2 linked regions of the Arabidopsis thaliana genome follow. The protein of the gene in region 1 purifies or fractionates together with the protein of each later gene. This does not show direct contact. Each region holds a gene or a part of one and is shown on either strand. Other genes may lie near its edges.

Evidence for each region.
Region 2: the proteins of AT1G20950 (region 1) and ALATS fractionate together in Arabidopsis thaliana (co-fractionation; one large-scale study listed by BioGRID). This does not show direct contact.

The regions. Positions count from the first base shown.
Region 1 is NC_003070.9:7,295,646-7,305,920, reverse strand, and holds AT1G20950 (Phosphofructokinase family protein), read left to right. Parts: upstream 1-4,287; 5' UTR 4,288-4,584; coding exon 4,585-4,674; intron 4,675-4,960; coding exon 4,961-5,133; intron 5,134-5,233; coding exon 5,234-5,346; intron 5,347-5,439; coding exon 5,440-5,514; intron 5,515-5,608; coding exon 5,609-5,722; intron 5,723-5,808; coding exon 5,809-5,876; intron 5,877-5,957; coding exon 5,958-6,041; intron 6,042-6,183; coding exon 6,184-6,237; intron 6,238-6,425; coding exon 6,426-6,506; intron 6,507-6,601; coding exon 6,602-6,695; intron 6,696-6,788; coding exon 6,789-6,862; intron 6,863-6,950; coding exon 6,951-7,061; intron 7,062-7,152; coding exon 7,153-7,197; intron 7,198-7,289; coding exon 7,290-7,346; intron 7,347-7,467; coding exon 7,468-7,572; intron 7,573-7,660; coding exon 7,661-7,777; intron 7,778-7,875; coding exon 7,876-7,985; intron 7,986-8,070; coding exon 8,071-8,236; intron 8,237-8,340; coding exon 8,341-8,454; 3' UTR 8,455-8,682; and 1 more. Other genes in the region: emb1507 (U5 small nuclear ribonucleoprotein helicase), read left to right, coding at 1-42, 145-3,330; AT1G20940 (F-box family protein), read left to right, coding at 9,403-10,275. UniProt on the Arabidopsis thaliana protein: Regulatory subunit of pyrophosphate--fructose 6-phosphate 1-phosphotransferase.
Region 2 is NC_003070.9:18,590,388-18,601,519, forward strand, and holds ALATS (Alanyl-tRNA synthetase), read right to left. Parts: upstream 8,093-11,132; 5' UTR 7,925-8,092; coding exon 7,630-7,924; intron 7,365-7,629; coding exon 7,126-7,364; intron 6,821-7,125; coding exon 6,680-6,820; intron 6,328-6,679; coding exon 6,181-6,327; intron 5,974-6,180; coding exon 5,821-5,973; intron 5,431-5,820; coding exon 5,301-5,430; intron 5,050-5,300; coding exon 4,953-5,049; intron 4,795-4,952; coding exon 4,674-4,794; intron 4,359-4,673; coding exon 4,299-4,358; intron 4,201-4,298; coding exon 4,150-4,200; intron 4,081-4,149; coding exon 3,985-4,080; intron 3,860-3,984; coding exon 3,758-3,859; intron 3,612-3,757; coding exon 3,489-3,611; intron 3,117-3,488; coding exon 2,973-3,116; intron 2,886-2,972; coding exon 2,814-2,885; intron 2,724-2,813; coding exon 2,648-2,723; intron 2,567-2,647; coding exon 2,424-2,566; intron 2,340-2,423; coding exon 2,231-2,339; intron 2,144-2,230; coding exon 1,956-2,143; intron 1,857-1,955; and 9 more. Other genes in the region: AT1G50190 (Cysteine/Histidine-rich C1 domain family protein), read right to left, coding at 1-412.

The sequences.
Region 1 (10,275 bases):
GAGGGTCTTTCTTTGACATCTGACATGGTTTACATTACGCAGGTTTGTTCTACACTTTCTTCTCTCGTCCCTTCTAGTTACATTGATAAATTAGCTGTATCTATTTTCTGATACTTATATTTCGTTCCTTTCTATCATTTTTAGAGTGCTGGACGTCTTGTGCGAGCTCTTTATGAAATTGTATTGAAGCGGGGATGGGCTCAATTGGCAGAGAAGGCTCTGAACTTGTCTAAAATGGTAGGGAAGAGGATGTGGAGTGTTCAGACACCCCTGCGTCAGTTTCATGGACTCTCCAATGATATTTTGATGCAGTTGGAGAAGAAGGATTTGGTGTGGGAGAGGTACTATGATCTATCCGCACAGGAGCTAGGAGAGCTTATTCGCAGTCCTAAGATGGGCAAGCCGCTTCACAAGTTCATTCACCAGTTCCCAAAAGTGACTCTTTCTGCACATGTTCAGCCTATTACTCGCACTGTTCTGAATGTGGAGCTTACAGTTACACCTGATTTCCTGTGGGACGAGAAAATTCATAAATATGTTGAGCCGTTTTGGATAATTGTGGAAGACAATGATGGTGAAAAGATCCTTCATCACGAGTATTTTCTTTTGAAGAAGCAGTATATTGATGAGGATCACACTTTGCACTTCACTGTGCCAATTTTTGAACCGTTGCCACCTCAGTATTTTGTTCGAGTGGTTTCAGACAAGTGGCTTGGCTCGGAGACTGTGTTGCCTGTATCTTTCAGGCATCTTATTCTTCCAGAGAAGTATCCACCTCCGACAGAGTTACTGGACTTGCAACCTCTCCCAGTGACGGCGCTAAGGAATCCGAATTATGAGATACTCTATCAGGATTTCAAGCATTTCAATCCAGTGCAGACTCAGGTCTTTACTGTTTTGTATAACACTAACGACAATGTGTTGGTTGCTGCTCCAACGGGAAGTGGGAAAACTATTTGTGCGGAGTTCGCTATTTTGAGGAATCATCATGAAGGACCTGATGCTACAATGCGTGTTGTTTATATTGCACCACTTGAGGCTATTGCCAAGGAGCAGTTTCGTATCTGGGAGGGGAAGTTTGGGAAGGGTCTTGGTTTACGGGTTGTTGAGCTAACTGGGGAGACAGCATTGGATCTTAAGCTGCTTGAGAAAGGCCAGATAATCATAAGTACTCCTGAGAAATGGGATGCTCTTTCCCGCAGGTGGAAACAGAGAAAATATGTTCAACAAGTTAGTCTTTTCATCGTCGACGAACTCCATCTAATTGGAGGTCAACATGGTCCAGTGTTGGAGGTAATCGTTTCCAGAATGAGATATATTTCAAGTCAGGTCATTAATAAGATCAGGATTGTTGCGCTATCCACTTCGCTTGCAAATGCAAAAGATCTTGGGGAGTGGATTGGGGCCAGTTCCCACGGCCTTTTCAACTTCCCTCCCGGAGTCCGTCCTGTTCCACTGGAGATCCACATTCAGGGAGTGGATATATCCAGTTTTGAAGCCAGGATGCAGGCGATGACCAAACCAACCTACACCGCCATAGTTCAGCACGCCAAGAACAAGAAGCCGGCTATTGTTTTCGTCCCAACCCGTAAACATGTCCGCTTGACTGCTGTGGATCTGATGGCTTATTCTCACATGGATAACCCGCAGAGTCCTGATTTCTTGTTAGGGAAGCTGGAAGAACTGGACCCTTTTGTTGAACAAATCCGCGAGGAAACACTGAAGGAGACACTGTGTCATGGTATTGGATACTTGCATGAGGGTTTAAGCAGTCTGGATCAGGAGATTGTGACACAGCTCTTTGAAGCTGGACGGATTCAGGTTTGTGTGATGAGCAGTTCATTGTGTTGGGGCACTCCATTAACTGCGCATTTGGTGGTCGTAATGGGAACGCAGTATTACGATGGGAGGGAAAATTCACATTCTGATTATCCAGTCCCTGATCTGCTTCAGATGATGGGGCGTGCTAGCCGACCACTTCTTGACAATGCCGGGAAGTGTGTGATCTTTTGTCATGCACCGCGGAAGGAGTATTACAAGAAGTTTTTGTACGAAGCCTTCCCTGTGGAAAGTCAGCTCCAGCATTTCTTGCATGATAATTTCAACGCAGAAGTGGTTGCTGGGGTTATAGAGAACAAGCAAGATGCCGTGGATTATCTTACATGGACTTTCATGTACAGGAGGCTTCCCCAGAACCCTAACTACTACAATCTCCAAGGTGTTAGCCACAGGCATTTGTCTGATCACCTATCAGAGCTGGTTGAGAACACCTTGTCTGATCTTGAAGCCAGTAAATGCATTGAGGTAGAGGATGAGATGGAACTCTCTCCTCTCAACCTTGGTATGATTGCATCCTATTATTACATCAGTTATACCACCATTGAGCGCTTCAGTTCACTGTTGTCTTCTAAAACCAAGATGAAGGGACTTCTTGAAATCTTAACATCGGCTTCAGAGTATGACATGATTCCTATACGGCCTGGCGAAGAGGACACCGTTCGAAGATTAATCAATCACCAGAGGTTCTCTTTTGAAAACCCAAAATGCACAGACCCTCATGTGAAGGCAAACGCGCTTCTTCAGGCGCATTTCTCAAGGCAAAACATTGGCGGGAACTTGGCAATGGATCAGCGTGATGTCCTTCTATCTGCAACCAGACTTCTTCAAGCGATGGTCGATGTGATATCAAGCAATGGCTGGCTGAATCTTGCTCTGCTAGCTATGGAAGTAAGCCAGATGGTGACTCAAGGCATGTGGGAGCGGGACTCCATGCTTCTGCAGCTCCCTCACTTCACAAAAGACTTGGCCAAGAGGTGCCAGGAGAATCCAGGGAAAAACATTGAAACCGTATTCGATCTTGTGGAGATGGAGGATGAAGAACGCCAAGAGCTTCTCAAGATGTCAGACGCTCAGCTTCTAGACATTGCCAGATTCTGCAACCGCTTCCCAAACATCGACCTTACTTACGAGATTGTGGGCAGTGAAGAGGTGAACCCAGGGAAAGAGGTTACATTGCAAGTGATGCTTGAGAGAGACATGGAGGGGAGGACAGAAGTGGGACCTGTGGATTCACTGAGGTATCCCAAGACCAAAGAAGAAGGATGGTGGCTGGTCGTGGGCGACACCAAGACAAACCAGTTGCTGGCAATCAAGCGTGTCTCATTGCAACGGAAAGTGAAGGTGAAGCTGGATTTCACAGCACCGAGTGAACCAGGAGAGAAGTCATACACACTATACTTCATGTGTGACTCTTACTTGGGGTGTGACCAAGAGTACTCGTTCTCTGTTGATGTCAAAGGATCCGGCGCTGGAGATCGCATGGAAGAATGATTTGTTATTCAGGTTAGTTCCACAGTTTTCTGGTCATAGTTTTCGGATTTAGATTCTGTACATGGTTGTAGTTTTTGTGTTACGAACTTGGCTTTACTAGATTCTGCTATGTGCATTGACCAACTCGCTTTCATCTATTGTTTGAGTAATTTGTTCATCAATCTGCTATTTTTCTGTTTCGTCTGTTTTCTTTTTGCATGAGCTATGTATTAGGTTTTACTCTTGAGCATTGATTTACTTATCTAGGTATTAGAATACAGGTATGCTCATGGTATATATATACCTAGTATTGTGAAATGATTGATTGATAAGTTAGTGAACAATGTTGATCAGCAAATTGTTAGAAATCTGTATAATTGGATGGTGATTTGATGTGTGCTTTGGATGGTGATTTGATATGTGTGCATCACTGCTATATGAAAACTGCTTTCTTGAATCATGTCTCATAAAAATCTCACATGATGTTCCTTTAAAATAGCTGATAATAGATTTTGTATTTTGAAATCCAGAAAATGACACATAATTTCTCTTCTTTGCAGGCTATGCTGATTCTGGAGAGTGTGACTTGTCTTCCAAAAAGCCTCCGTACCGTTTGGGTCTCTGCAATCTTAGCTCTCTGAGAATATATATTAAGGTGTAATCGTTTTTTTCTGGTCTTTTACTATTCCAATTACTCTTTTTATGTCGTGCATCGATTTTTAATCCTATGTATGGCTTGTTTCTAGTTTTGTTTGGACCAAACTCGACAGAGGAGCCAATGTCAAAACTACAATTTGAGTTTGTGACTTTGAAAGCTGAGATTACTTGAAAGAATTTTAAATGCAGCAGTGTTCATTTTGTAACATCTGAGTTGTGTGATACTGGCTTATTGAGTCACCGATAGTTTTTCCTTAAAACTAAAATGTACTATTGCAAGTAAAAACCAAACAAAAAAAATTCATTCAAACTTGCATTATAACCAAGTAAACGTGATCAATAGAAACTTGCAAAATCACAACCAAAATATTTGTCCAAACAATATGTAGTCAAAACAGTCTGTTGTGTTCATAAAAAAGTCATATAACGATACACCAAAAAGAAAGAAACGGAGGTGTTTGGTTGGTAGTATATTCCTCCTCCTCCTCTTTCTTCTTCTCCCTCCTCACTATATATTTTGAAGTTTATTAACAAGAACCAAAAAAAGTCACACTCGAAGTCTCACACCACACCAACCACTTCTTCTTCTTCTTCTTCTTCTACATAAAACCTAACGCCATGGATTCAGATTTCGGAATCCCCAGAGAACTCTCCCCTCTTCAGCAACTTCGATCTCAGTACAAACCTGAGCTTCCTCCTTGTCTCCAGGTCCCTTCTTCTACTTCATAGATCTACTTCCTTCCATTGTTCCTATCATTGGATTTATTTGAGTACTTAGTTTCTTATTCAATATTATCATTCTTGGATTTCTGCAACTATTCCAAGTTTTTGTTTATCTTAATTCGATGAACTTTGCTCCTTAAGCAGATCTGATTTCTAGATTGTATTGTTCTCGGATCTGTTTTATTTCGATTCCTAAGTTTCATTGGCAGTCTCTTCAGCTTTAATCAGTTGAACTTTGTCATTTTCTTATTCTGCTTGAAATTCGTTTCAGGGGACTACTGTCCGCGTGGAGCTTGGTGATGGAACCACTGTGGCTGAAGCTGCTGATTCACATACCATGGCTCGTGCTTTCCCGCATACCTTAGGCCAGCCTTTGGCTCACTTCCTCAGGGAAACTGCTCAAGTTCCTGATGCGCACATCATTACCGAGCTTCCTTCAGTTAGGTGTGTGAATCTGTTTGCTCTCTATCTATATGTTTCTGGATTGGCGTTTGTGTTTGATTTAAGTTCTATTCAGCTTAAGTTAGTTCTTTTTCTACTGTAGAGTTGGAATTGTGTTTTGTGGAAGGCAAGCTCCAGGTGGACATAATGTGATCTGGGGTCTTTTCGAGGCTCTCAAGGTGCACAACGCAAAAAGCACTTTGCTAGGATTTTTGGGTAAGTTCTATTATTTTTTATACAACTGCATCATTTGCCAGTTTAGAGATTTTTTGTTAGACTTAAGTAAAATTTGTTGTTGACTGATAATAGGTGGTTCCGAGGGTCTATTTGCACAAAAGACTCTAGAGATTACAGATGATATACTTCAGACTTACAAAAACCAAGGTACTTGTTTGATCAAGGCATTGTCGTCAAATGCAGAATCTCCCGTTCATTGCTTCAAGTTCTGATATATTGGTGTTGAAATGTATGTTGTAAGGTGGTTATGATTTGCTCGGAAGAACTAAGGATCAGATCAAAACAACTGAGCAGGTTAACGCTGCACTCAAAGCTTGCACAGATTTGAAGTTAGATGGCCTTGTTATCATTGGAGGTACCTAGCGTTTTTACTTATATTCATTGGCAAATTTTTGTCTTTAATTTTTACTAAACCAAGAATATATATTGTGGTTTTTGAAGGCGTAATATCAAACACAGATGCAGCTCATCTCGCTGAATTTTTTGCTGCTGCAAAATGCTCAACTAAGGTCCTAATTTCTTTTTCTACAGTTTCATTTTAAATTCCTTTATAAAAATGCTACGGTAATTAAGCTCCTATGAAATTACAGGTGGTTGGTGTTCCAGTTACTACAAATGGAGATCTCAAAAATCAGTTTGTGGAGGCAAACGTGGGTTTTGACACCATATGCAAGGTAAAATGTAAACTTTAACCATCTGGTTACTTTGTCTTAGTTATCTTTTGTAGCTATTGCAGCAACATGATGCCGTTGTCCCTCGTAAGTCTTTGCAGAAACTATATGTTATTGTTTGCTAATGATATTTTGCGGCATACAGGTGAACTCACAACTCATTAGCAATGCCTGCACTGATGCCCTTTCTGCAGAGAAGGTAAAAGCTATTTCTTCCTGAACTTTCATGTTGCAAGAGATTGCTAGGGCATTCTTAACTGCAGTTTATTAACTTCATATTCTGATAAGACGAAATATTTCGATGAAGGATGTGAAAGCAGAAAGCTACTACAAAGTTATATTCTTTATGATTCTGATATCAAGTTCTACTTTCTTTTTTATTTGCAGTATTATTATTTCATCCGCCTCATGGGTCGTAAGCACTCTCATGTTGCCCTTGAGTGTACACTCCAGTCTCATCCAAACATGGTTCGTAACTGTTTCAGTTTCGAAACATAGACTATTGATTCTGTTGGCATGTTCATGCTCTAGACTCTCATTATCGTGTCATCCGATTGTCTCAGGTGATACTGGGCGAGGAGGTTGCAGCATCTAAGCTCACAATTTTTGACATTGCTAAACAGATCTGTGATGCTGTTCAAGCAAGAGCAGTAGAAGGTCTCGTAATGAAAACCATCTATGATTAGATTATGCAATCATGTATTTTACTGTGTTTACTAAATCTGGTACTATTTCATTTGTTTGAACCAGACAAGAATCATGGAGTCATCCTCATTCCTGAAGGGCTTATAGTCAGTATTCCTGAAGTCTACGCTCTGTTAAAGGTAATGATTTGATACTTGTTTCTTTCTTCAATACTGAGATGTACTTCTTAGTATAAATCACGTATAAGCTGACATTTGTTTGATGTAGGAAATTCACGGGCTGCTGAGGCAGGGTGTATCTGCTGATAAGATTTCTACTCAGCTCTCACCTTGGTCATCTGCTTTGTTTGAATTTCTTCCTCCATTCATTAAGAAACAGGTTCAAATTCTTTGAAATTAGAATTATCTTTGTTTTCGTTCAAAGCAAAGGTGTATTAATACATATAAGATGGTCGCCTTTCTTGCTACAGCTACTTCTCCATCCTGAGTCTGATGATTCTGCTCAGCTATCCCAGGTAATTATGAAGAACAAACAGAATATTTTGGACCTACTATGTTATAAAAAAAAAGTTGGAATCCTAAATGCTCTTTTTGCTTTCTACTCTAGATTGAGACAGAGAAACTTCTTGCGTATCTCGTGGAGACTGAAATGAACAAGCGCTTGGTATGCTCCAATTTTATCATTGGTTTCTATCTTTTCCCAATACTGTTATCTAAATAATGGAGTCATTATTTGGCATCAAAAAATACTATTGCTAATGTAATGAAATCTTTGAATTTGACAGAAAGAAGGCACATACAAGGGGAAGAAATTCAATGCCATATGTCACTTTTTTGGTTACCAAGCTCGTGGATCTCTTCCATCGAAATTCGATTGTGATTACGCCTACGTAAGTCACTAACAGTCTGTGCCACAGTACCAATGCAACTTCATAATTTAGATGAATATTAACACTATTGAATGGGAGAATCATGCAGGTTCTTGGACATATATGTTACCACATCCTTGCAGCTGGTCTGAATGGTTACATGGCAACAGTGACCAACCTAAAAAGTCCTGTGAACAAGTGGAAATGTGGTGCTACACCTATTACAGTTGAGTTTTGTCGTATTTTCTATCTAAAAGACGGCGGTTAATACAGTGTATTTCTATACTAATTCCCCATTCTTTTATCTCTGGTATTACCTTTTAGGCGATGATGACGGTGAAGCATTGGTCCCAGGATGCTAGTTATACTTTAACTTCAATTGGTAGACCTGCAATTCATCCAGCTATGGTGGATTTGAAAGGCAAAGCATACGAGTAAGTCAGCTATTACAGAAAACATGAACACACTCACGTTTGGCCTTATTTATCAATTGTTTGAATGTGAATGGTTTTCTTGCAGCCTCTTGAGACAGAATGCACAAAAATTCTTGATGGAAGATCTGTACAGAAACCCAGGACCGCTACAGTACGATGGTCCTGGTGCGGATGCTAAAGCAGTGAGTCTCTGTGTTGAAGATCAAGATTACATGGGACGTATCAAGAAGCTGCAGGAATATCTTGACCAAGTAAAAACTTTTTGTTTTTGTGTTTTTCTCTGCTAATTTCGTCAAGTATCGAATAATGTTCTTCGCCACTTTCATATTTATTAACATTTTTGGGGTTTGGTCAGGTGAGGACGATAGTGAAACCAGGATGTTCTCAAGACGTATTGAAGGCAGCACTGAGTGTGATGGCTTCGGTGACTGATGTTCTTACTACTATTTCTTCAAATGGTGGTCAATGATTTGCTTAAAACTTAAGGACAAAGCTCTTATGAATCACACACGTCGTGTTTGTTCTCTTCTTTTTGTTTTCTTTCTTTTGAGATGTAACTTTTGTTGTATTTTTTAAGTTATTGAGTTTGGAAAGACATAAAAATTGAAAAGGTTTGGATTATAGAGGCGCTATTTCACCATATCAATCCTTGTCCAACTTTTATTTTTCAGTTTCACTATTATTACAAACTTTTTTTAAATATGACAATTAGGCATGCATGCATGATGCATATAGCAATAGCATCGCTTGAACACGATTTTGTTTACAAAAAGAATCATTAAAATTTTAAGAGTTACATTTTTAATCTTAACTACACCAAAATACTAGAAATACAGTGTATCTTGCAAACTAACTTTAACAACCAATGACGTGTCATGTTCCCAAATCCCAGTTATAAATTTTGATAGATTTTTGACAGTATCTTAGGTACAGCTTTGGCATAAATACACTTTTATTTATTTTAAAAACTATCTTTAGCCTAAATACATTGTTAGTTATTTAAAAATTAGAAACTAAATGAAGAAATTATTTAGATATTAAGAAATATTTATCATTAAAAGATATTAGATTTTGTCATTTTTTTATATTAGTAAATTTTCTTTGTTCAACTAATGAAATTAATAACTAACAGATTATTTTGCAAAATGACAAACCTATAAAATATATATTAATATTTGATTTTCAAATTATCTTGCAAAATCATTCAAAAATTTAACTAAATTTATATTAATGTTGTATTTGAATTTTTCTTATAATGGTGAGATACTGAGATTATCCTTGATTAGAATTGATTGTTACTTTTTTTTGGTAATAATATGTTGTCTATTATTATATATATATATATATATATATATATATATATATATATGTTGAAAATAACACAAAAATATTCACATACGCCAAGCAAAATAGAATCATGAATAATTTGCCAAGAAATTCTCAATTTGATTCATCTTCCATCATCAATGATTTACCTTTAGACCTTCTCGACGAGATTCTCTTCAGATTAGAACCCAAATCTATGGCTATGATGCGATGCACTAACAATTCTATCAAATCATATTTAAGTGATCCAAGATTTGGACCGGAATATCCTTCATGGGTCAGACCTAGTTTGTTTAACCTTGGTAGCTATGGCGCTACTTATGTATGTTGCCATCCTTTGGTCTCTTCATGCGATTATATGTCACCGGGAAATGGAGTAGAACTGTTTGATGGTAGTGCGGATTGTTACATTTTCGGCTCATGCTCTGGTCTTCTCCTATTGTACATTGGTTGTCTCTTTGTTGCAAATCCCTTAACAAAAAGGTTTCGAATCCTGGATCATTCTGGATCAAAGCTTATACCAATGATAGTTAATGGTGGACTTAAAGGTCTTAGCGGAATTAGTTATCCTGGAGGTAATGTTGCTTGTACGGAACGAGCGATGTGCGTTGGATTTGCGGTAAATCGAAATCTAACAACCAAGAGATTCAAGATCGTGGGCATACTCGAGATGGAAAACGTATACGGATTCGAGATCAACGAAGGAGACTCTTGGAGATTATCGGAAACGAGTATCACCACTAGCTCAAAAAGTGATCTCACTACGCGGATGAAACCTGTTTACTTGGACAACACTCTTCACTGGCTGAGAAACGATGGCAGCATCATGTCTTTTAATCCCGAGACAGAGCAAGCATGCTTGATTCCTTCCATATTTCATCGGGAACCGGATACGAAGCTACTTTTCGCGGAAAGCGTTAAGATCAATCGCCTGACCCTAATTTCGGGGACGATAGAAACAATC
Region 2 (11,132 bases), about 11 Mb from region 1:
CTGGGTCGCGGTATGTGATCTTTTTCCGACAAGAGTTGCATCTTTTATGATTCCCATCTGAAGCACATTCTTCTTCATCTCCAAACATATGCTTGTATGGATATTCCGTGCTTAACAGAAACCAAATTTCAGGGATCGCAGAGCTAACAAGATTATGATCTAAGAAGGTGAGGGTGAGAGGGTGGATGAGGTGGAAAGGGTGTTTGATTTCTGGAGGAAACAAGTAACAACCTTTGTGGAATTCCAAATCACAAGTAGCACAATAGTAATAGTACCCACGCCTATTCCCAGTGTATTGTTGGCCTTTGCAGGAGATGCAAACGGTGAGCGGTGGATCAAATCGTCGGCCAAGTTTGTGAGGCTTTGCTAGATCAGACATACGACACAAGGGCTTACTTTTGCTTCCGTCCATGGCTGTAGAATCTCTCAACTATGAATTCTCTTGCTTTAGAGATAGAGATAGACTTCCTTACCCACTTTGTAATGATTATTTTTCAGCCAGCTATATAATAAAGGCAGGAGCTAACTCGTATCTGCCAACTTGAGTTACTATTGCTGTCCCAATTACACTTTTTCGTTATTTTCTTATGAGTTATTGAATTGAAACGTTTTTGTCTTTTGAAATTATTTCTCTATATTTTAGTCTAGGATTTTAGGATTTAGTTTTTTATCTACTAGTAACATATATATCACTGTTTTCAGAAATGTGCAATTCATTTTCAGTCAATCCAAAACAAATTTAAAGGAACTTAGGTAAATCAATTCAGTTTTATGCTTTTGGTAACTAAAGCCGACCAGTCCATACCAAATCCTATTTTTTTTTTTTAAATAACCATTTCAACGCAAACGGGAAAGGATCATTTCACAAGGGATTATAACAGCCATTGGTAACTTTGACTAAAAGAGTGTGATACCACAAATTCCATCACAAGAACAGAGAAATTTAACAGATTCTTAAAACATGTGTAAAACGGTGTACAATGAAAGCAAATTAAGTAGAGGTTATTCTGACCTCACAGATTATGTAACCTCCCGACCAAATCAGTTGAGCTTCATTGATGCAAATGATGAAGCCATATCCAAAGCCGCCTGCACTTGAGAAGCATCCGTTCCCTAAAACCAAAACAACATGTTGAAGATTTAACATCTCTTTGTAGATGATACTATCACATTGTAGACTAAAGAGAATAGGACTCATACCTGCCCTGATGCAAGACCACCTTTCCCTTTCCCGCACCTTCCTTTTAGAGGACCCAATGCAGTTGTCAACCATTCAGTGACGTCTAACGGCTTAAACTGGTCTGATTTTTCTGGCACTCCTGCACACACAACCGCCTTGTTTGTGCTTTCATCTGTGCTGAACACCATTATCGACATACCCTGCAAGGTTAATCAAACGGAAACGTTAATTTAACTTTCTTGCTATCTATGAACAGGTTATGGTACAAGTGATGATGTAAGAAAATACGGATTACCTTCTTTTCCATGACTTTTGAAACGGCCTCTCGCACAGCTGCTGCATCAAGACCCACATCCAGCTGGATTATGCAGAAAGTCTTCCCATCTGATGCTGCGGACTCAGCTGCCTCTGTTGCTAATTTGACAGATTTTTTCAGGTTTTGTTCCGCTATTTTCTTCTGAGCTTTTCTTACTTCATTCTGCGAAGTTAGGAAAACAATAATTGCCACTTCAGAATTGCTTTGATTACAAAATTACAGGGAAATCTAGACAAAGCTGCTGACTGTAAGGCTGAAAGAGCTTATAACCTGAAGCGAAGCAATCTTAGTCCTAATATCTGCCTTTTTAGCTGCTGGGATAATTGCTGCATCTACTCGGCTTTTCAAAGCAGAAACTTTCTGTGAATGTGCAAATACAAACACAATAAGTTTTACGTGAATCCAAGTAACGACATCGTCTTCATTTTGTCAATAGTTTGACAAAGAGAGGGAGAAAACCTTTTCCAATGCACTTCCCTCCGCTCTGGAGGCATCCTCTACTTCTCTTTCAAGTAAGGACGCCGCATTCAATGCATCAAAAGCACATTCAGTAGTCACAGCAGTTACCCTACGAATACCTTTAGCAATTCCCTCCTCCGATAGAAGAGCAAATGCTTTGGCTTCGCGGGTGTTTGTTATGTGGGTTCCTGGAATTGTCAAAATAACCCTATACTCAACATTCTATTCAGAACGTAATATCTTGGTCCCAATAGCTAATGCCAATGGAAACAGACCTCCACAAAACTCGGAAGAAAGCAATGACCATTCATTGTTTTCAGGATCAGCCAAGAGATCCTCAACCTTCCTCCCAATTGACACCACTCTGACGGGATCGGGGTAGACCTAAAAAGAGTAAGAGAGAACGCTTTAACAATTCTTAGAAACCAAACTAAAAAGGTATAGCTACAGAACTGATGGACAGCTTACTTCTCCAAACACTGCTCTTAGACCTTTGATGCGCTTGGCTTCAGAAAGCACAGCTTCCTTGGAAAACACATCTAATTCATCCTTGATCTGTTTATTCACTATGGATTCGATCCTTCTCAAATCTTCAGGATCAACCGGCTTGCCTACTCGAAATTATGGAACCCATCAGACAATTAAGATGACCATCCACATCAAAATAAAAATGACTTTATTCAAAAATGTACCATGAGAAAAATCAAATCGCAGTTTTTCAGGAAGAACAATTGATCCCTTCTGATCAATATGATCCCCGAGCACTTCCTGAATTCATGGGACATGAATATTTTCAGATCCAATAGAAAAAATTAGAAAATCACAGTTTAGGTTACTTAAATTATAGAAAAGGGATACCTTCAGGGCATAATTCAACATATGTGTGCAAGTATGATTAGGAGCGATGAGTTTACGCCTCTCATAGTCAACCTATACGCATGAAAACGAAGGTGGAAACAAATTGGATAGTACCAAATATGGTGAATGAGACAAACACTGTTTGATGCAGAGAGTTACCTTGCAAATCACTTTATCACCCACAGATACCTCTCCAGTTTCTTTAGAGAGATAACCAATGTGAAGAACAAAGCCCCCAAATATTTGTACATTGCATACATTGAATGTCCCAAACGAGCCTTCTATAAGTCCAGTGTCAAAAATCTATTGCCAGAGAAAAAATGTTAGAGGCACAGAGTTTATATACATATAGATGATTGGAAGTGAATCAAAAGCTTAACCTTGTTCATGGATATGAAATCTAAAAATATTTATGTGACTGTCAACGACAACTTCAGAAATTAGTATGCAAAACCAACAATAACTATATCATGGTATTTGCCAGCCGATACATAAATTCAAACAATGCAGTTCTGATATGATTGTGTTCATGGTGTTACTGCCATGTCTACATTTGTATATATATACAAATCCAAGATGAACATACTGAAGACTGCAATTTCATGCCACCAGTCATATGATCAGAAATGAAAAACAATTAGCAAACTAAAATACATATCAAATAAAATGGATTACCTGACCACCCTGCTCAGCATAGAAGCTTGTAGACCCCAATACTAGTCCCACGTTATCACTAGCAGCTGAACTTTCTAGGAAAGTAGAGCCAGTATAGATTGCCTTTAGTTCACTCTCGTGGTCCTGCAGCGATATGTGGCAGAGTACCAATAAAGGTTTCTTTAAAGCAAAATCCATTTACTATTATATGCCCTAACTTCTTCATTTCTACGCCAACATAAGAACATTTCAGGTGCAACATGCAAGTTTTCTGGAATAAAAGGACAAACCTGGAACCAAATGTATTTAAAAGAATCATCTGTTGCTGAAACACCAGCCTTGTGCAATGTTGATGTAGCATCAGCATCCATAACAATGGCACCACCAGCTTGCTATAAAAAAATGACATTAAAAGATTGGTTAATAGATGATGTGATTGCAAACTTCGTTCATAGTCACACGTAAGTTTGGCATTAAACGCTCTTTAAGAAAGTAAACAAGAGGAAAGTTGAAACACCTTATTCTGGGCACTTCTCGATCTTTCCCTCGCCTCTTCCATGGCTTTGTTGAAACCATCAACATCAACCAGTAACCCTCTTTCTTCAGCCATCAACTGAACCCCGAGAATAAAAGTTAGAAAATAACACGAACATTCAGAAATAAGTATAAATGACTTACGTACCTGAGTTAAATCTAACGGGAAACCATATGTATCCCATAAGATAAAAGCATCCTGCAAAGAGAAGACAACATGTTGAGATAGAATTCAAACATCCCAGATGAAAATACTGCAACGCCTAACATACATCACAAAAATGATTCGATACGTACATCTCCACTCAGTGTATTCCCCTGAACCGCCTGTCCAGCTTTCCGAAATTTCTCAATTCCCTGCCGTGAAAATTTATAATCAGTCTAACTGTTCTTATACTCACCACCTATTCACATAAAAAAGGGAGGAACGACCAGGTAAAGCCAATTCATCTTTCAGAAAAAAGATTCCCTATAGAAAATACTATAATTATGTCTAACCATCATTAAAACTGAACAATGATGAAATTGGAAACAATCTATACAGAAATATCACATGCCACTGATTGAAGCTGTGAACTGTCTCTTTTACTTCAGTGCGACGAGCCAGAAGAACCCAAAACAAAATAAGATAAGAGGTTCAAAGCTTTGACGGAAATTAAATCCAGCCCTTACCTTTGCCAAGGTCTTGCAAAAGCTTGCTTCCTCTTCTTTAATTATATCTGTGATCTTTTTCTCATGTTCCTTCAACTCTGTAAAGACATCGCCCATCACCCGAATGACAGAACTTACAAGCCTACAGGTAATATGAAAGCCCGAGATAAAACATGTGTCAAAAAAATATGCTCATTTATAAAGATACAAGACAGAAATAAACGTTCCAGCTACAACGAAACAATATTTGAAACAATATTCAAACAAAACATGCAACGAAAATCAAACATAATTTCCTACCCGTTGAAAAATCCTTCTTCAGCTTTTAGGATCTCCTTTCCATAGCGAACCGCTCGACGAAGAATACGCCGCAGAACATACTCACGGCCCTCATTACCTGCAAGAGATAGTATATTAATTGGTACTTGTTAGACTACAAGAAATAACAAACCTCTATTTGTATAACATAACAGATTGTCTGAGGAAGAAAATTGACAAACTCATCATGCCCAACTTAGAATAAATGAACCAAAAACACTTTTTCTGAGAACATATAAGTATGAACTCAAATAAATGATTGAATACTAAGACGATTGTATTTTCTGTAACCACCACAATTGTGATTGAGACAAGAAACCAAGTATATACCAGGACGAGAGCCATCCGCAATTGCAAATGATAGGGTTCTAATATGATCAGCAACCACTCTATATGCCATGTCAACTCTGTCAACATCTTCCGGACCAACTTTTCCAGAATATGGCCTAGCTCCCGTTGCCTAAAAAAGTGAAAGCATCAACACCTAAACTTAAGATTCGCAACAACTAGGGTAAACAGAGCAATTTGAAGATTTTTTCAATCCTCTCACTAAGAAAAATACATGAAAAGTGACACAGCTAACAACGAATAATCTCCAGGATACCCATAGTAGAATGCCTTTATCATGAAATCCAAATTCAATAAACCAGAAATATTCAAAAACAATTGACGGAGTCTCGACGTAAAGCATAGAACCCATGATCCACTTCAAAATTGATGAACTAAAATGATGATAGTACTAATTAAGGTGACAAATGCGTCCCTAAGAGGAGGCCAAACAAAAATAACTCAATGAAACCATCATTAAACAGCTGTCATGAAACCATCAACAGAAGTTTTCACAAATTACCTTTTGGATGTCATCAAAGATAGGCATGAACACATCTGTATCATAGTTGCTCATTTTGTTTTGAAGAACAGAAGTCAACCTCTCGAAGCCCATCCCGGTATCAACATGCTTAGCAGGCAGAGGTTTTAGCGAGCCATCACTTTCTCGGTTGAACTATTTTGAAGACATAAGTAACATCCCAGTCAGAGGAAACAATTGGGAATATGATAGCACAGCTAAAGGAGCAATAACAATCTAGCTAACTGCACAATATAGAGTTTTCAGTAACACAATCTACAAAATCATTAAAACAATTGTGATATTGAGATAAAGATTAGTAAAATGGAACTAAATAACAATTGGGACAGAGAGGGTTTGTACCTGAATAAAGACAAGATTCCATATTTCTAAACATGTTGGATCGTCATTGTTAACTAAGGATGCAGCATCACGGTTACCAATGCGATCATAATGTATTTCAGTACAAGGTCCACACGGACCTGTGTCGCCCATTTCCCAGAAATTGTCCTGCAGTTTAATCAAAAGTTAAATGAAAGAAAAACAGCATTTAAAAACCCTTAAGTTTTACATTTTGTACAAGATTTTGACTGTAAATCATAAACAATGGTTTTTAAAGCCTGCCAACTACCAAACATGATAGCGTATTCCTAGCCAAAATGCATTCAAGCTTACAGTTGGTTGTCGTTAGCATTGACAAACAGATGTGTCAATATATACAAGAAACAATGGTGACAATACAAAGGCAACTTAGCTGAAGTACTTGTGAAGTAACCTCAGGAGAGAGGAAATCAATGAGTAGTGGATTCAAAAAAATTAGGTAACAGATTAAAAGTTATTATCTTAAATAATCAATACATACTTTGCAACCAAATGGCAGCACACGTCCAGATGGAAGAACCTTCAACCATATATCCCTAGCCTCATTATCAGGTTGAAGGCCAGCTTTCTCATCACCGCCAAAATATGTAGCGTAGATTCGATCAGTCGGTAGCCCATAGACCTGAGGCATGAAAACAGGGAGGTATCAACCTCAATGAAATAAACAACCTCAACGAAAAGAGAATAGTAACTTTACAAAATTATGAAATACTGTCACAAGGTATCTAACTGAAATGTACAACCAAATGAAAAGAGAAGAATCACTTTACAAAACTGAAATGTACAACCAAATGAAAAGAGAAGAATCACTTAACAAAATTGAGACATACCGTCCCAAGGGAGGGAGACAATAGTTTACTGAATAATACCATGTATATTTTTCTTAAATCAAGTAAACAGAGACAAATTTCCCAGGTATTTAATTACCTTGGTTAAGAGCTCCCAAGCCCATTCGATAGCTTCCTTCTTGAAATAATCTCCAAAGGACCAGTTACCAAGCATTTCAAAGAAGGTGTGATGGTACGTATCTTTGCCGACATCATCCAAATCATTATGCTTTCCACCAGCACGAATACACTTTTGGGTGTTACATGCCCGAGATAGCTTGCTAAGCTCAGTATTTGGATCGGCCGTACCCAAAAATATTGGCTTATACTGGTTCATTCCTTGAAAAACAGAGAAGTTTCAATGTCATTAATAATTCTATTTTTCGCCAGACATATCAAGAGAACTTAATTTACATAGCTCAGTATCAATATCAGAAAATTTCGACCAAAACTGAAATTGAGAAATTTGAATAAGTCCCAAAGCTTCAAAGACAAAAGAAGACAGAATAAGTCAACTCTATAGAATCTGAATTCCATAGATCAACTTGGACAAATTCCCAATCTTATCGGCAAAAACAGATATGAGGAATCGAAGTTATCGTACCAGCGTTAGCGAAGAGAAGAGTAGGATCATTATGAGGAACAACGGGGCTTGATGGCCAGAACTTGTGGCCTTTGCCTCTGAAGAAATCGACATAAGTATCCCGGACTCTCTTTGCTGGCCACTGAGTCTCCGATGGTTCGGAACCCGGCATGACTGCGACGGAGGAAGACGTCGACGAAGAGGAAGAAAAACGGAAGTGAGAGAAAAAAGGGCGGCGGAGATGGGAAGAGTAAAAAACCCTAGACGGAGGTTTGGTTGAAGAAATCAGAAGAGAAGCTGCCTTCACTAATCTCATTCAAACCAATAAAAGACCTTCTCTCTCTCCTCCTATCCTATTTTCTACCGTTAAAATTTATTTAATCCGATTCCTTTTCCGCAAGATATATTATTTTAAGGGATAATACTTAAAAAATAAAAAAAGTAAAATTTGGAAAATACATTTTGTTCATCAAAGGATAACATTAAAAAAAAAACGAGAGTAAATTTTGGTTCTCGTTTAGATAAACTGTTGGGTTTGCTGCCACTAGCCGTGAGACTGCCTCGCATGTTATTGTTTGTTTCGTTGTTGTTGTTGCTGTTGTCGTTGCCGCAAGTTTTGAATTTGTTTTGCTGCTACTGTTGCAAATTTTTGTATTCGTTTCTCAGATAATACTATAGTTTTACACGTAATTTTTTTTTTTCCAATCAACCAAATGTAATTCTAATATATTTTTGTTACTTGAATTTTTTTCATATTTGAGTTTTTCTCTTTTTATTATGTGGATTGATATGATCTATATATAAAAATTATTCTTATTCTTGTTAAATATTAATCTAAATACTATTTTTATAGTATAAAAAATGAATGATATTATTTTGATGTAAACTACCTAAAATTTTATAACAATAATGAGTTTTTACGCTATTGATCAAATTGGGTTGGATGGATTTCTGTTACATATTGGTTACAGTTATTAAAAGGGAAAAATGTTATTTAATACCTCAACTTTCAAATTATGACAGTTTTATACGTTAACTTTATATATGGTCATTTTAAACATGAAGTTATCGTTGATCACCATTTAAACCATGAATATTTTATTGACCAGGCCAAAAAAATTAGTCGTTAACGGATTATTCAACTCCCGTTAACACCTCCATTAACCATTCTAAACGACGTCGTTTTCGTTTTTCTTTAAAAAGAAATGACAGACCTGGGATTCGAACCCCTATCATTTGAGAAAAATCAAAGGTCATTTGACCACTCTACCTGCAAAGATTTCTCTGTCATTCTATACAAACACAGATACTTATATACGCTTAAAGTTCTTCTTCTTCATCTTTAACGAAACAAAACATTTCCATAGTAAAGCTTCCATTGAAGAACACCTCCGATTTTGAACACTTCGATTTCTCCATGGACTTCTACCATTTAATACAAGCCTCATCAAGCACCCCTATTCATTGAAGAACACCTCCAAACCTTTTTTTCCCGCCAAAAAAAAAAAAATCCCGCCAAAAATAAATTTCCCGCCAAAATTTTTTCTCGTAAATTTTGTTTCCCAGCAAAAAAAATGCTTTTAAAAATCCTTGTAAATTTTTTAAAAACTCTTTTAAAAAACCTTGTAAAGTTTTTTAAAATCTTTGGTAATTGCTAAAAACCCTTGTAAATCATTTTAAAACCTCTTAAAATCTTTATAAAGTCTTTAAAAACATAGGTAAATACTTTAAAACCCCTTTTTAAACCTTTGTAAATCATTTTAAAACTTTTTACAATAGTTTTACAAGATTTACAATCGTTTTTTAAGCATAAGTAAGTGGCATTGAATGATTTACAAGGGATTTTGAAAACTTATAAAAGGGTAAAACATGATTTACAATCGTTTTAAAGCATAAGTAAGTGGCATAAAATGATTTACAAGGGATTTAAAAAAGGTTAGCATGGTTTACAATCGTTTTTTAAGCATAAGTAAGTGGCATTGAATGATTTACAAGGGATTTTAAAAGCTTATAAAAGGGTAAAACATGATTTACAATCGTTTTTAAAGCATAAGTAAGTGGCATTGAATGATTTACAAGGGATTTTAAAAGCTTATAAAAGGGTAAAACATGATTTACAATCGTTTTTAAAGCATAAGTAAGTGGCATTGAATGATTTACAAGGGATTTTAAAAGCTTATAAAAAGGTAAAACATGATTTATCATCGTTTTTAAAGCATAAGTAAGTGGCATAAAATGATTTACAAGGATTTTTAAAAAGGGCTAGCATGGTTTACAATGTTTTTTTAAGCATAAGTAAGTGGCATTGGAATGATTTACAAGGGATTTTAAAAGCTTATAAAAGGGTAAAACATGATTTATAGTAACGAAAACGACATCGTTTAGAATGGTTAACGGAGGTGTTAACGGGAGTTGAATAATCCGTTAACGACTATTTTTTTTGGCCTGGTCAACGAAATATTCATGGTTTAAATGGTGGTCAACGATAACATCATGTTTAAAATGACCATATATAAAGTTGACGTATAAAACGGTTATAATTTGAAAATTAGGGTATTAAATAACATTTTTCTCGTTATTAAAAAGCAATATATCTCTGCAAATGGACACACCAAAAAGCCAAACACAATTTGATCAAATTACCATCATTACTCCAAATTATCATCGTTATTCAAAGTATTTCAAAGTTAAGACATAAGTTCGCAAGAAGACACTTCACATATCCAGCTACAGATGATAACTGGATGAACCTGTAAGAAATAAAAAGTTAAAAATGAAAGTCAGATACATCAACAAGAACCAGTACTAATTCGATTAGAGTCATTCACATCTAAAATCAATCTGAGTCCAGTTTTCAAAGAACACAGTTTCAATCACAGAGAGGCAGAAAAAACATACTTGATCAAGACCAAAAACTCCAAGAAATGTTGCAAGTTATGTCTTCAGTAGACAAAATAGATGCATATAATAAGAGACTAGCCATAGAGAATACTTGTGATATAAGAAGAAATCTGCAAAAAAAGAAGAAAAAATATTATTATTTTTACAGAAGGAAAAAAGATCTCGGATGAACTGATTCAGAAAAGTATTTGGACACAGAAAACTAGTAGTCGTTCATCAACGACGGAAGTAACTCCCTAGTTGCAGCAACTGCGTACCGCATATCCCTTAAGAGTTGTTTCTTTTCCAGCTGCTCATTTACAATGGTGACAAACTTGAGAACAAAAGAGAAGCTAACCTCAATATGCAGCATTGGTCGCTTTATATGCTGATCCCAGGGGTGTGCTTCATGAGCAACAATTGAAGCTAACATGTGAAGAGAGTTGGGAGCTGTTGGAGAAAATTTCATTATCTGGAAGAGAAAATATAGGTAATCATTAGGCTCTAATCTTTCTGCAGCATATATACTATCATACTTGACACACTTATTCACCTGATATGCAGAGCCAATGTTGGTTAAGAAAATGGAGGAGATTGGGAAGCAGATAATTGTAAGGTGTGGAGGTTTACCTCTAGCTATAACA